Stegostoma tigrinum: one gene and its partner. The protein of the gene in region 2 interacts with the protein of the main gene of each other region in a pairwise test. Links are inferred from orthologs where the notes say so. Each region holds a gene or a part of one and is shown on either strand. Other genes may lie near its edges.

Region 1 (7,709 bases), on a different chromosome or scaffold from region 2:
TTACAGGGGCCCTGAACCAAATTTTTAAAATTGTCTCCGGCCACAGGGAAGGTCCTGGAGGACAACAGGACATACTTTGGGTATGAGGACAAATTGGTTCCACTTTATAAGGGTGGTAGAGATAAACTAGGGAACTATAAGCCAGTAGAAAAACTACTGCAGAAAATAAATCTCGATTTAAAGAGGCAAGGTTTCATTGGGGATAATCAGCATAGAGACAGTGAGGACTGCAGATGCTGGAAGCTGGTGTCTATAGGTGAGAGGCTGGATAAGCATAACAGGTCAGACAGCATTACAGGAGCAGGAAAGTCAATGTTTTGGGCTGAAATCCTTCATCAGGGGAGGGAGGCCAGAAAAAAATGTGGGGGAAGGCTGGAGGGAAGCTAGGTGAGATGGAGATAGGTGGATGCAGGTAGTTAGTGAGTAGGAAGATGAAAATGTTGGGGATGGAGAGATTTTGATGGTGGTGATGCAAGTAGGGGTTATTGTGGTTGGTCAGTGGGAAGCGTGGAGCCGACACGTGTCAGAAGATGGACGAGTGGGGGGGGGGGGGGGGGGGGAGAAACGAGGAGAGATGGACAATTGGTTGGCGTGAGGAGAGATGGGCAAGTGGGGTGAGGTATGAGGAGATTTAAACATTCAGATTAAATGTATGCATCATACTTCTACAAAGTTTCTTAATAAACAAGATTATAATTCAATTCCTTTCGTTGTGAATTAACTGAGTTAAATGCAGTACACATTCTATAAACCTGCACAATGCTACATATTGCAAGCGATCATTTACAGGACTAATCTTCTTGCAAATCAAATTTTTTTTAAAAGAAACACATGATTCCATTGCATCATTCTGTATATTTCACTTACACATTCAACTCATTACATACAGCAAGTATGAAACTGAAACTGGTCAGACATCAGAGGAACCAGGTAAAATAAGTAAGTGTGTTCATACATGCAGAGACTTTATAAGTTGTTACGCTGAAAATATATACAATTCAAAACTATTTGATACTGTGAAAAATTAAACAATGAAGGTACGTACAAATATTAAGAACAGAAACATTTCAGAGTTACTGCTATTAATAGTCAGACATTGTTAACTCCCTAAGTCAAGATAAACACACGCAATGTATACCATAGGATATAAGACAATGCTCATTATACTGCAAAAACACTGACAGTATATAACTAATTCAGTAAACAAACAATCACCACATTAAAACTACTTAAGTGTCAGTCATATCTCATAGTACAATAGATTCAGAAACAATCCACCAGTTCTTGTAGTGTCCTCAAATTTCCAGTAATATATTCAAAGCCAACATTCTTAAAACAAGCTATTATTGCAAACTTAGCTTTTGAGCTGTTATACTTCTATTATTTATATGCACCTTAAAAAAACTACTCCACACGATATACATCCAGCAAATTCCATTAAAATATACACACTGTACAATCATACTACATCAACTTATTTACAAAACATGATTAGTCCAACGATCATCTTGTAACCTGAAATACACCTTCTTAGAAACAATGCAATCATGTGGATGATCAGCCATGATCATAATGAATGGTGGTGCTGGCTCGAAGGGCCGAATAGCCTACTCCAGTACCTATTGTCTATTGTCTAATACAAGTTGTTTAACAGAGCGCACAAATCCTGTCCATATCCTGATAACTAAATAGCAATGACACTAGAAAATAATCTTTGATTCTAGTAAAACTGCCAGTAATTTTAAAAACTCTACCTGCCTTATACTGGCTTTTCACATTTTAAAATTAACATTAAAATATTAAAGTACATACTGCGTTATTGAATTTTGTACACTCTTCTCATTTAAAGTCATTCCTGGGGGTGGGTCATTTTGCAAAGCCATTAGCTCCTTCTGTAACCTTTTCTATTAGAGAAAACAGAACAGTTAGAAAAAATGGGTTACTGTAATATTAGGTAAACTGGTGTATAATTTTCCAAATTGTAATTATCCCCAATTCTGTGAAGGTTTGCTTCCAATTGATTTTCACTTTAAAATTGACATATTTGAATGCAGTTGTGTAAAAATTCTGAAGTGTAAATTTTTTGCCTAATTTCATACCTTCCCAAATTAATACTGTAGTTATTTCCTTCACAAACTCAGCTAATCAGTACAATTGCAGGGCTAATACAAGCTTGACAGTTTTACATATATATGCACGAAAAAAAGTGCAGTAACTCGGCCAATCACATTTTTCAAGATGTGGATAACTATTAATAAAAATGGACGGCCTTTATTTACTGAACTGATGCAAGTTTTACCACGGAGGATGCGTACACAGATGAGGTGTTAGTCCACGTACTGTGTATTTAAACAAGTGGTCAGGCTTGATCCCCGACAGGATAAGCACACATCGGGGTGAGAACGTGGAAACGAGGAGCAAAGTTAAAGGTTCTGAAATTGAAGAAGCCCAACTCAAGTCATATAACGATTGCTGATGGCAGAGGTGACTCCTGAGCCCATTGCTGTTCCTGTGGTGGGCCTCGACAGGTGTCGCTGGCACCTATAACCTTCACAGGGCGCGATGATGCTGTTGCCATCACCTGGATGGAAAGAAACAAGGGGCAGGCGGAGAGATGGAGCCCAAGTCACCCCAACCACCACCCAGGGCTCAGGGATCGACATCCCACTCCATTAGGAATGCGCCCAAAACCCTCTGCACTTTTCACCGCCGCGGTTTTAAGAAGCCCGCAAATTTGTGAAAACGTACACAAACAATCGCGGGCCGCTCCACTCGGCTTCATCGTTTATCCGCTCCCCCCGACCCTCCAACCCCCCAACCCCAGCTGAAAAGACGAGATGCAGATACCGAGGAGGTCTTAGGGCCGGCTCTTCCCTCGAATGCGGAGAGAAACTGACACGGCCACCCCAGCAGGAAAGAGAGAAGGCGTCCACTGAAGCGCCGCCGAACACATCAGACACTCACCTGCATTGACGCCATGATGGAAACCCCCCCTTTTCCCCCCGCCCCCCTCCGTGCCAGAGACACCGCTCAACGGGATTGCGTCATGACGCACGCGGGGTCGGGCACGCACAGTTTCTCTCAAGCAATGTGGTCACGGCGTGCGCGCTTCCCGGGCATGAGACCGTTGGGAACTTCTCCGTGATTGCCTGACACCGAGGCGTGCGATGTTGGTGGAAGAGCGTCAAAACACGAAATAAAACGTTGACCTGCGGATGCTGGGAATCTGAAGTTACTGAAGAAAGTCAGCAGGTGTGGCAGAGAGAAAGCAGAGTTAATGTTCTGGGTCCAGAGAGCCCTGAGCTTTCCTCAGCTAGATTGGAAAAGGTGGGCTCCATCTCCACCCATCGCTTATTGCTTTACCCATGCAACTCCTATCTTCAACATACATACCACCCTCCCCTATAGTAGCCCATTGGCCAGTGTTCTCCATGCACTTCTCTAAATTGTCTATTGCGAAGAAAATTACCCAGGTTGGAAACACTCTGGACAGCTGTGCTACACTGTATTATGGGCAACTGTGCGGTCCAGCAGCACTTATGCCTGACTTCACGTTCTTTGGAAGACATTTTCCATGTGGTTGGTGAATGTGCAAAGTTGGACACGCACTGCAGAAACAGAATCGACATCAAAGATATTTTCGATCTTAAAGCACACAAACAAGTCGGTTGATAACTGGCTGTCCAATCTGAGATCCCGAAACGTCAGCTTTTATGCTCCTAAAATGCTGCTTGGCCTGCTGTGTTCATCCAGCTCCACACTTTGTTATCTCGGATTATCCAGCATCTGCAGTTCCCATTATCTCCAATCTGAGATCTTTTCCGTTCTGTGGAATGATCTTTCCCATACCCGACTCATTCATGAATTTAGTTGAGCTGAGTCAGCAGGCACAGGAATTCTGGTGCAATGTTGTCATCATATCATGTTGCTTTGCCACATTTCAGGCTCCTGAATGCTTTTCTAGTTCTGTGATTTTGTATGAATCAGGACTGCACTGTTCTGCTCATGTTGATTTTTAAGCCCATTATAGATTATGTGTTTTATATTCTTTTGCACTGACTCCCTCGCTGCAAGGAAAAGATGACTGGCAACTTAGTTTAGGATCTCTGCTGGAAGATGTTGCTAAACTGTAGAATACTGCCTACAGGCAAAGCACATGCTTCAGGGGAAAATCTTTCAAAAATTAGGGTATGATACAAGTAATACAACATCCCTGTAATTCGCAATTAACCTCTCTCTGTTGGAGCTTGCAGGTAATTCTTCACCTCAACATTCTTGGCAGACTGAAGGAGCTCCACAAATGAAATCAAGTATCATGAGATCAACTGGCCTGTGAACAAACCATTGTTTACCAACAGGTAAATGGGCGCCTACAGAAGATTTCATTGGGTTTCCTAGTCTCATGAAGGGATGTTAAAGAAGAAAGGCAATCTTGATAGAGTCTGTGTTGACGTAAGAGAATTGCTTCATTCTGCCAGCAAGAAGGCAGTCTGCAATTTGACAGGAGTGGTGGAAGTGTTTTCTATTCTTTTCATAATCAAAGAACCTTCAGAAGACAACCATCAACAAAGGTTTCCAGAAGAAGCAAATACTGTGAACAAAAATGAGCTATACAACTCACTTGAGCTCAGTGATGAATCTTTTAACTGTGGTTGTTCAGACACCAAACAGCACAGTGGACAAATTGATACAGCAGATTTAACATTGATGCTGGATGATGAACAAAGTTAGCCACCAAAGTGTGTTCAATTTAACATTTTTATCATTGTGAATATTTTTGTGACATTTATTTGTATTTCTTTCATTTATCAAAGCCAGCAATAAGTCTGGCAATATATTTTCCTCTGAGTCAAAAGATGGTTGGTTTAAAGTGTACTTCAGATATTTGAACATATCATCTAAGATGCCACTTCACTATTGAAGGTGGGAGCAAATGGCAAGTCGCTATTTCATTCACTCCGCTGGTTTCTAGTTTCATTCATTTGAATGACTTTTCTAAAGTTAAATACTAAGAACAGGAGTAGGTCATTCAGTCCCTTGAGCTTGTTCTGCCTTTCAATGAGATCATAGCTGAATGGACTAACTCTGTTTTGGCCTATATTCCCTGAACTTTTGCTACTCAAAAATTTATCTTTCTAAGATTTAGAATGAAAAACTGATCTAGTGTCCACTACCGTTTGTGGAAGAAGCTTCCAAACATCTACCACCCATTGAATAAAGATGTGTTTCTTAATATCTTTGAGGTTGTTGACTTGCACGCTGAGCCAGCTTGTTTTCGTTCAGAGGTTTTTTCACCATACTAGGTAATATCATCAATGAGGCTTCCAATGAAGCAATGTTGCTCTATTCCACTTGGAATTTATACTGTCTGGTCTCTTATGTTAAACAGTACCATTTCCCGTTTTGTTCTGTATGGGTTTGTACATGGGGTCCAATTCTATATGTTTGTTGATTGCATTATGGGTTGAGAACCATGTCTCTAGGAATTCCTGTGCATGTCTATGTTTGGATTGGGCTACTATGATTATGTTTTCCCAGTTAAGTTGATGGTCTTCCTTGTCCAAGTGTGCTAATAATATGGAAAGTTCATTGTGTTGTTTTGCTGCTAGTTGATGTTCATGTATTCTGATGGCCAGTTTCCTTCCTGTCTGTCCAATGTAATGTTTGTGGTGGTTGTTGCATAGTGTTTTGTAAATTGCATTTGCTCTGCCTGTTGTGGGAATGGGGTCTTTAATCCTTGAGAGTGTTTGTTGCGGAGTGGCTGTGGGCTTGTGTGCTACCATAATTCCTAGTGGTCATAGGAGTCTCATTGTCAGTTGATGACTTAAACTCCCTACAATATGGAAACAGGCCCTTCAGCCCAACAAGTCCACAATGACTATCGCAGCATCCCACCCAGACCCAGCCCCTATAACCCACCTAATCTACACATTACTGAACACTATGGGCAATTTAGCATGGCCAATCTACCTAGCCTGCACATCTTTGGACAGTGGGAGGAAACCGGACCACTCAGCGGAAACCCACACAGACACTCGGAGAATGCACAAACTCCACACAGACAGTTGCCCAAGGGTGGAATCGAACCCTGGCCCCTGGTGCTGTAAGACAGCAATGCAAACTACTGAGCCACTGTGCCGTCTTTGTCCTGTGTCCTCTTGTTGTTGTCAATAATGCCTTAACACACTGGTCACACTGCCCTATATCAAGAACATATCAGAACTGACAATGAGACTGCTATGACCACTAGGAATCATGGTAGCACACAAGCCCACAGCCACTTCACGACAAACATTTACAAGGATTAAAGACCCTATTCCCACAACATACAGGACCAATGTGATATACAACGTATCATGCAATGACTGCCACAAACATTACATTGGAAAGACAGGAAGGAAACTAGCCATCAGAATACACAAACCTCAGCTAGCAGCAAAACAACATGATGAACTTTCCTTAATATCAGTATACTCGGACAACAAAGGCCATCAATTTAACTGGGACAACGTAACCATAGTAGCCCAAGCCAAATGTAGACATGCACAGGAATTTCTAGAGATATGGTTCTCAACCCATAATGCAATCAACAAACATATAGAATTGGACCCCATATACAAACCCATACAGAACAAAACTGGTCATGACACTACTCATCATAATGCACTGGACAGTCTAAATTCCAAGTCAAATAGAACAACATTGCTTCGTCTGAGGCCTCATTGATGATGTTAACTAGCATGGTGACGCAATGTCTGAACAAAATCAAGTCAGCTTGGCGAACAAGTCAACAACCTCACCCACAACCTTTGCTAAAATCTTAATATCTTTTCTCAATAGTCTCGCCCTAATTCTTGGACAATACCCAAGTTTTAGAATCTCTAACCTGTGGAAATAGTTTATCATTATCTACCCTGCCCTTTCCTGTTAATATCTTGGAGACTATGATCATATCACCCCTTTCTAAATTCTAGAGAAAACAGGCCAAATTTGTATAATCTCACCGTATTATTTAACCCCTGAAGGCCAGGTGTCATTCTTGTAAACCAACTTTGTACTCCCTGCAATGCCAATATATCCTTCTTGAGGTGTGGTGCCCATATTAGCTTACACAACTCCAAGTGGGATGTAAGGAGGGCTTTCTATAATTGCATCATAATTTCTATATCCTTATATTCCAGTCCTGTATTTGTAGGCCAGAAATCCATTGGCTTTCTTCATTATTTTCTGCACCTGTTCATGGTGTTTTAAAGATCTATGCACCTGAACCCACTAATCTCTTTGGTTCCATCGTATTACTTCGTACCATCTAGAAAGTGCTCTGATCTATCCTTTTCCAGTCCAAATTGGATTCTTTGGACTTGTTTCTTATGAATCCTGATTTCAAAGCTCCCTAGTCAGAGTTTTCCACAAAACTGTAATGATTATGAAATAAATTATCTGCCACCTCCCTGAATGTTAAACTCTTCAGTTAAGTTTTGCCCTTTCAAGATTTTCATTTGTTCTCACATTAAAGTATTTATTAAGAGGTATTAGAACTTTAAAATAATTTATGCCTTCTTTATATTTTCTTCATACGTCAGCTGTGTGTCCTGTTGAATATATTAGTGTATTTATTTGTTCAGCTTAAGATTTATTATTTAAATTTGAACCAATTATATCTCCTAAGAACTTGTATCTACAAAATATCCAATCTTGCATTTTTTTGA
Region 2 (6,989 bases):
CACGGGAGGCTGCTGAGCAAGGTGAGGGCCCATGGTGTTCGAGGTGAGCTACTGGCTTGGATTGAGGATTGGCTGTCTGACAGAAGGCAGAGAGCTGGGATAAAAGGCTCTTTTTCGGAATGGCAACTGGTGACGAGGGTTCAGTGTTGGGGCCTCACTTGTTCACGTTATATATTAATGATCTGGATGAAGGGACTGGGGGCATTCTGGCGAAGTTTGCCAATGATACGAAGATAGGTGGTACTGAGGAGGTGGGGAGGCTGCAGAAAGATTTAGACAGTTTAGGAGAGTGGTCCAGGAAATGGCTGATGAAATTCAACATGAGCAAATGCAAGGTTTTGAACTTTGGAAAAAAGAATACAGGCACAGACTATTTTCTAAATGGTGAGAAAATTCGTAAAGCAGAAATACAAAGGGATCTGAGAGTTTTGGTCCAGGATTCTCTAAAGGTTAGCTTGCAGATAGAGTCTGTGATTAAGAAAGCGAATGTAATATTGTCGTTTATCTCAAGAGGGTTGGAATATAAAAGCAGTGGTGTGCTTCTGAGACTTTATAAAGCTCTAGTTAGGCCCCATTTAGAATACTGTGTCCAATTTTGGGCCCCACACCTCAGGAAGGACATACTGGCCCTGGAGCATGTCCAGCGGAGATTCACACGGATGATCCCTGGAATGATAGGTTTAACGTATGATGAATGGCTGAGGATCCTGGGATTGTATTCATTAGAGTTTAGAAGGTTGAGGGGAGATCTAATAGAAACTTACAAGATTATTTATGGCTTAGAAAGAGTGGATGCTGGGAAGTTGTTTCCCGTAGGCGGGGAGACAAGGCCCTGTGGGCACAGCCTTAGAATTAGAGGGGGTAAATTAAAAATGGAAATGAGGTGACATTTCTTCAGCCAGAGAGTGGTGGGTATGTGGAATTCATTGCCACGGAGTGCAGTGGAGGCCGGGACGTTAAATGCCTTCAAGGCAGAGATCGATAAAATCTTGATCTCACAAGGAATCAAGGGTTACGGAGAGAGTGCAGGGAAGTAGAGTTGAAATGCCTATCAGCCATGATTTAAATGGTGGAGTAGACTCGATGGGCCAAATAGCCTTACTTCCACTCCTATATCCTATGGTCAAATGTGCTGTATTTGGACTTCCAGAAGGTGTTTGACTAGGTACAGCTCAAAAGGTTAAGACATAATGTAAACACCCACAGATTTGGAGGTAGTGCATTGACTTGGATAGAGAATTGGCTCATGACAGGAAACATCGAGTCGGGAGAGGGGATTCTATTCCAGGTTGGTGACATGTGATCGGTGGGGTTCCACAGGAATCAGTGCTGGGACTGCAACTATTTACAATATAAATTAACGAATTGGAGGAAGGCAGTGACTGTACAATGGCCAAATTTGCAGTTGACATAAAAATAGGTGGAAAGTTACATTGTGAGAGGGATACAAACAGTTTACAAAGTGATATTGATTGGTCAGGTGAGTCGGCAAAAAATTAGCAAATGGAGTATAATATGTGAAAGCGTGAAAATGTTCATTATGGAAGGGAGAACAAAATAAGTAAGTATTGTTTAAATGGCAAAATATGCAGAAAGCAATAACACAAAGGAGGTATATCCATGAAACACAAAAAGCGAGCAAACAGCTTCAGCAGACAATCAGGAAGGCTGATGGAATGTTGGCCCTTATTTCAATGAGGTTGGAGCATAAAAAGATAAGTCGTATTGCAACTGTGCAAGATGCTGGTGAGACCACATCTGGAGTACTGTGACCAGTTTTAGTAACCTTATTTATGGAAATATATTGTTTCATTGAAGGCGGTTCAGAGGAAGCCAACTAAGATGATCCCTGGTAAGGTGGAATTGCCTTATGAGCAAAGGCAAAACAGGTTGGGACTCTGCTCACTGGAGTTTATCAGAATGAAAGACGATCTGATTGAAACACACAGGATTCTTCAGGGTCTTGACAAGGTAAATGCTGAGAGGATGTATGCCCTTGTGAGAGAGTCTAGGACCAGACAGCATAGTCTCAGAATGAAGGGGTGCCAATTTAAGACTGAGATTAGGAGGAATTTATTCTCTCAAGATGGTCCTGATTCTTTGGAATTCCTTGCCACAAAGAGCTGTGGGAACAGAGTCCATGTATATATTTAACGTTGAGATTGATCAATTCTTGATCAGAAGGGGCATCTAGGCTGTAGGGAAAGTGCAGGAAAGTGGATGTGAGGAATGGGGTTGGATCAGCCATGATCCTACCGAATGGTGGAGCTGGCTCAAGCGCTGAATAGTCTTACTCCTATTCCTATTTCTTATTGTCTGTTGTTATTGTATGTAGCAGCCAAATGAAAGGTAAACAGTGGGCTAATGAGAAAATAAATTGAATGATATTAATTGGATAATGCATATATGATACAGTGAATGGCCTTCCACAGTGTAGGGTTAAAAATCAGATTAAAGTGTAGTAATTCTAGTAGCAGGAATATCAGTTAGGAAAGGTCCAAGTTAGGGTTTATGGAGGCAGTGTCAATTACCTCCCCACATGTAAAGTATAAATTGGTGAAATGGAGTTCATTTCAACTCCCCCTTTTTATTACGAAGTGTTTCAATGTGAAAATAACTGGCAGCACAGAGTTTTGCTTTCAACAAGATAAATGGTTCGTTTATTCAATAATTTTCAGCAATGGTTATACTTACTTAAAGGAATAAACTAAAATCCACATAGAAGGATTTATGTAAGTAAGGATATAAGTTGGTAATGAAGATCAAAGAGAGATCATTCTCTACTGTTGCAGCAGGCCAAGCTTGCTCGAAAATTCTCCTTGTTTCGATCCCTTTTGAAAAGATTATACTACTGAATTTAGCTCCATGTTCTGAAGTAGTCACATTTCAAGAATACTTGTTATATTGTCATTCTCTACTGCAGTAGTTTGCAACCTATTGAGTAACATGGCACTCTAAAAGTGAGGCAAACAGTTCCATGCGCACCCACTTTTTTATGTCATCTCAATTTTTCCCTTGAGCCGTATGCATTCAGAATATTCACATTTTAGAATAAAAATCCTGATCCTGCACTTTTAATTCGTTGATTAATTTTAATGAGTTTTGAGATGTAATTTTGATTAAGAATATTGTTTGAGATGAAACATTGTTTAATAATGTACATCGGTAATGAAAATCAAAATTTTATGCTCAATTTATACAGGTCCTCATGGCATATTGGTTGAAAACATAGAACATAGAATATCGCAGCGTAGTATAGGCCCTTTGGCCCTCGATGTTGCATCTATCGCAGGTGAAACCAAACTGAAGCCCAGCTAACCTACACTATTCCATTATCATCCATATGTTCATCCACTGACCATTTAAATGCCCTCAAAATTGGTGAGTCTACTACTGTTGCCCTTACTACTCTAAGTAAAGAACCTACCTCTGACTTCTGTCCTATATCTATCACGCCTCAATTTAAAGTTATGTCCCCTCATGCTAACCATCACCATCCGAGGAAAAAGGCTCTCACTGTCCACCCTATCTAATCCTCTGATCATCTTGTATGTCTCTATTAAGTCACCTCTTAACCTTCTTCTGTCTAACAAAAACAATTCAGATTTATATTCTTTCATGTTCCCCATCTTTTCCCCTTTTTGTCCTCAATTCCTGCACAAGCATGCTTCCTTCTGTGACCATTACTCAGTCGTCAGATCCATCTGATAGGCAGTATTGCCACCCAACCTAGCGTGCCCAGTTTAAATAATTTTAAATAACCTAGTCAAAATTGATGGCTTCTGAGCTCTGGAATCCTTGGAGCAGCTTTCAGAGAAACAATTCCTACTGCACTGCAAGGGGAATGAATCCCGGTGCAGCACGAGGAGAACGGGTCCTCGTGCAGCATGAGGGGAATGAGTCCTGTTGCAGCGCTAGGGGAATGGGTCCCAGTGGAGCGCGAGGGGATCAAGTCCCGGTACAGCGGGAGATTAATGAGTCCTGGTACAGCGGGAGATTAACAAATCCTGGCACGACGGGAGATGAACGAGTCCTGGTACAGCGCGAGGGGAGCCGGTCTTGGTGCGACATGAGAGGAACAAGTCCTGGTACAGCAGGAGATGACCAAGTCCTGGTACAGCGGAAGATGAAGAAGTCCTGGTACAGCAGGAGATGAACGAGTTCCGGTACAGCGCAAGGGGAATGGGTCCTGATACAAGACGGGGGGAACGATTCCGGTCCAGCGTGAGGGGAATGGGTCCTGGTGCAACGTGAGGGCAACGGGTCTTGGTGCGACATGAGGGGAACAAGTCTTGGTGCAGCGTGAGGGGAATGGGTCCTGGTGCAGCGTGAGGGGAACAAGTCCTGGTGCAGCATGAGGGGAATGGGTCTTGGTGCGACATGAGGAGAACAAGTCCTGGTACAGCGGAAGATGAAGAAGTCCTGGTACAGCAGGAGATGAACGAGTTCTGGTACAGCGCAAGGGGAATGGGTCCTGATACAAGACGGGGGGAACGATTCCGGTCCAGCGTGAGGGGAATGGGTCCTGGTGTAGCGTGAGGTGAATGGGTCCTGGTGCAACGTGAGGGCAACGGGTCTTGGTGCGACATGAGGGGAACAAGTCTTGGTGCAGCGTGAGGGGAACGAGTCCTGGCACAGCACAATTTATCTTGGCGCAGTTGTGTGCCGGTGCAGAGAGGACTGGAAACTTGGAGCAGAGCGGGATAATTATTGGACAGGCGCTTAGCACATACAGTCAGACCACAATGCTGAGTTACTGCTATTTGAATTTTTTTTACCTGACTGTAATGTGAGTTCTTTAACTATGTTATAATGATCTGATTCCTAACCTATTTTGTCAGACACTGTATGTAATGCTACAACTATTCCTTTTATTCTTGTTCCGTATGAAATTTTTACCTCAGTGCTTGTACCGAGGATGGCGCCTTTAGTGGCAGCCATTGTAAAAACTTCTGTGTACTCTTGTACTTCCAAGACGCTTGACAATAAAAGGATATTCAATTCTATTCTGTATTCTACAAAGCTGTGACCAGAAGATGGCATTCTTCTAATGCAGCTCAGGTAACCATGCAAGTCAATGCCTGACCGGAGAATACAATATCAGCAAGAGTCACCGTGGAATACTTGCAAGCACTTGAATCATCTCTACTTTTAATTTATTATACTCCAAAAGCAAAATACTTAAAACCTGCATGCCTGCTTTCTGACTGAAGTAAAATTAGATTGTGGTAGAAATTCTGCTTTTTATAGTGGCTAAACAAAACCCGACAGCCAAGAGGAGTTTTCTTATCAGTCTTAAATTGGATCTTCTGAAACAAAAAGATAAACCCAACCATCTTAACTATCTCTCTCTAGACAACAGTTTCTGCTGACCTTTTGTAACAAAAGAAGAAGTGGATGTATCCACCTTTTTCACTGTTTTTATTCCTTTCCTACAGGGGAGTCATTAAAACTCACATCGCAAAATGCAGCCTAACTGTTTCAGACAGAAGTGCAACTTGACTTGTTTGCGTAAATATTCCGTAACTCCAATGCAATACCCGTGATGTCCATTATGTGTACACTAATTTACTATAGCAATTTAAAGTTGTCTACCTGGTCACCAAGGTTCTAATGTTTCACTGATCTATTATATAAATATATGTGTATATGTAGCATAATAAAATGTGAGGCTGGATGAACACAGCAGGCCAAGCAGCATCTCAGGAGCACAAAAGCTGACGTTTCGGGCCTAGACCCTTCATCAGAGAGGGGGATGGGGTGAGGGTTCTGGAATAAATAGGGAGGGGGGGAGGCGGACCGAAGATGGAGAGTAAAGAAGATACGTGGAGAGAGTATAGGTGGAGATGTAGGGAGGGGATAGGTCAGTCCAGGGAAGACGGACAGGTCAAGGAGGTGGGATGAGGTTAGTAGGTAGATGGGGGTGCGGCTTGGGGTGGGAGGAAGGGATGGGTGAAAGGAAGAACAGGTTAGGGAGGCAGAGACAGGTTGGACTGGTTTTGGGATGCAGTGGGTGGAGGGGAAGAGCTGGGCTGGTTGTGTGGTGCAGTGGGGGGAGGGGACGAACTGGGCTGGTTTAGGGATGCGGTGGGGCAAGGGGAGATTTTGAAACTGGTGAAGTCCACATTGATACCATTAGGCTGCAGGGGTTCCCAGGCGGAATATGAGTTGCTGTTCCTGCAACCTTCGGGTGGCATCATTGTGGCACTGCAGGAGGCCCATGATGGACATGTCATCTAAAGAATGGGAGGGGGAGTTGAAATGGTTTGCTACGGGGAGTTGCAGTTGTGTGTTGCGAACTGAGCGGAGGTGTTCCGCAAAGCGGTCCCCAAGCCTCCGCTTGGTTTCCCCAATGTAGAGGAAGCCACACCGAGTACAGTGGATGCAGTATACCACATTGGCAGATGTGCAGGTGAACCTCTGCTTAATGTGGAATGTCATCTTGGGGCCTGGGATAGGGGTGAGGGAGGAGGTGTGGGGGCAAGTGTAGCATTTCCTGCGGTTGCAGGGGAAGGTGCCGGGTGTGGTGGGGTTGGAGGGTAGTGTGGAGCAAACAAGGGAGTCACAGAGAGAGTGGTCTCTCCGGAAAGCAGACAGGGGTGGGAATGGAAAAATGTCTTGGGTGGTGGGGTCGGATTGTAGATGGCGGAAGTGTCGGAGGATGATGCGTTGTATCTGGAGGTTGGTGGGGTGGTGTGTGAGAATGAGGGGGATCCTCTTAGGGCGGTTGTGGCGGTGGCGGGGTGTGAGGGATGTTTTGCTGGAAATACGGGAGACGCAGTCAAGGGCGTTCTCGATCACTGTGGGGGGAAAGTTGCGGTCCTTGAAGAACTTGGACATCTGGGATGTGCGGGAGTGGAATTAAAAGATTTCCAGCATATTATTTTCAAGATTTTCAGTATTTTGCTTTTGCATTTGCAAAGTGTCTCTAATGTAGTAAAACAATCGAAGGTGACCTTTAGGGAAGACATTCTGGAGATTAGGGACTG

The links.
Region 1: the proteins of E3 ubiquitin-protein ligase XIAP-like (region 2) and ube2wb interact in a two-hybrid assay, tested with the Homo sapiens proteins (2 studies listed by BioGRID and IntAct). The link is inferred for Stegostoma tigrinum from reciprocal best matches to the Homo sapiens genes XIAP and UBE2W.

What each region holds. Positions count from the first base shown.
Region 1 is NC_081358.1:26,381,725-26,389,433, reverse strand, and holds the start of ube2wb (probable ubiquitin-conjugating enzyme E2 W-B), read right to left. Parts: upstream 3,010-7,709; 5' UTR 2,980-3,009; coding exon 2,965-2,979; intron 1,905-2,964; coding exon 1,813-1,904; intron 1-1,812. UniProt on the Homo sapiens protein: Accepts ubiquitin from the E1 complex and catalyzes its covalent attachment to other proteins.
Region 2 is NC_081368.1:29,298,530-29,305,518, forward strand, and holds the start of E3 ubiquitin-protein ligase XIAP-like, read left to right. Parts: upstream 1-3,901; 5' UTR 3,902-4,166; intron 4,167-6,989.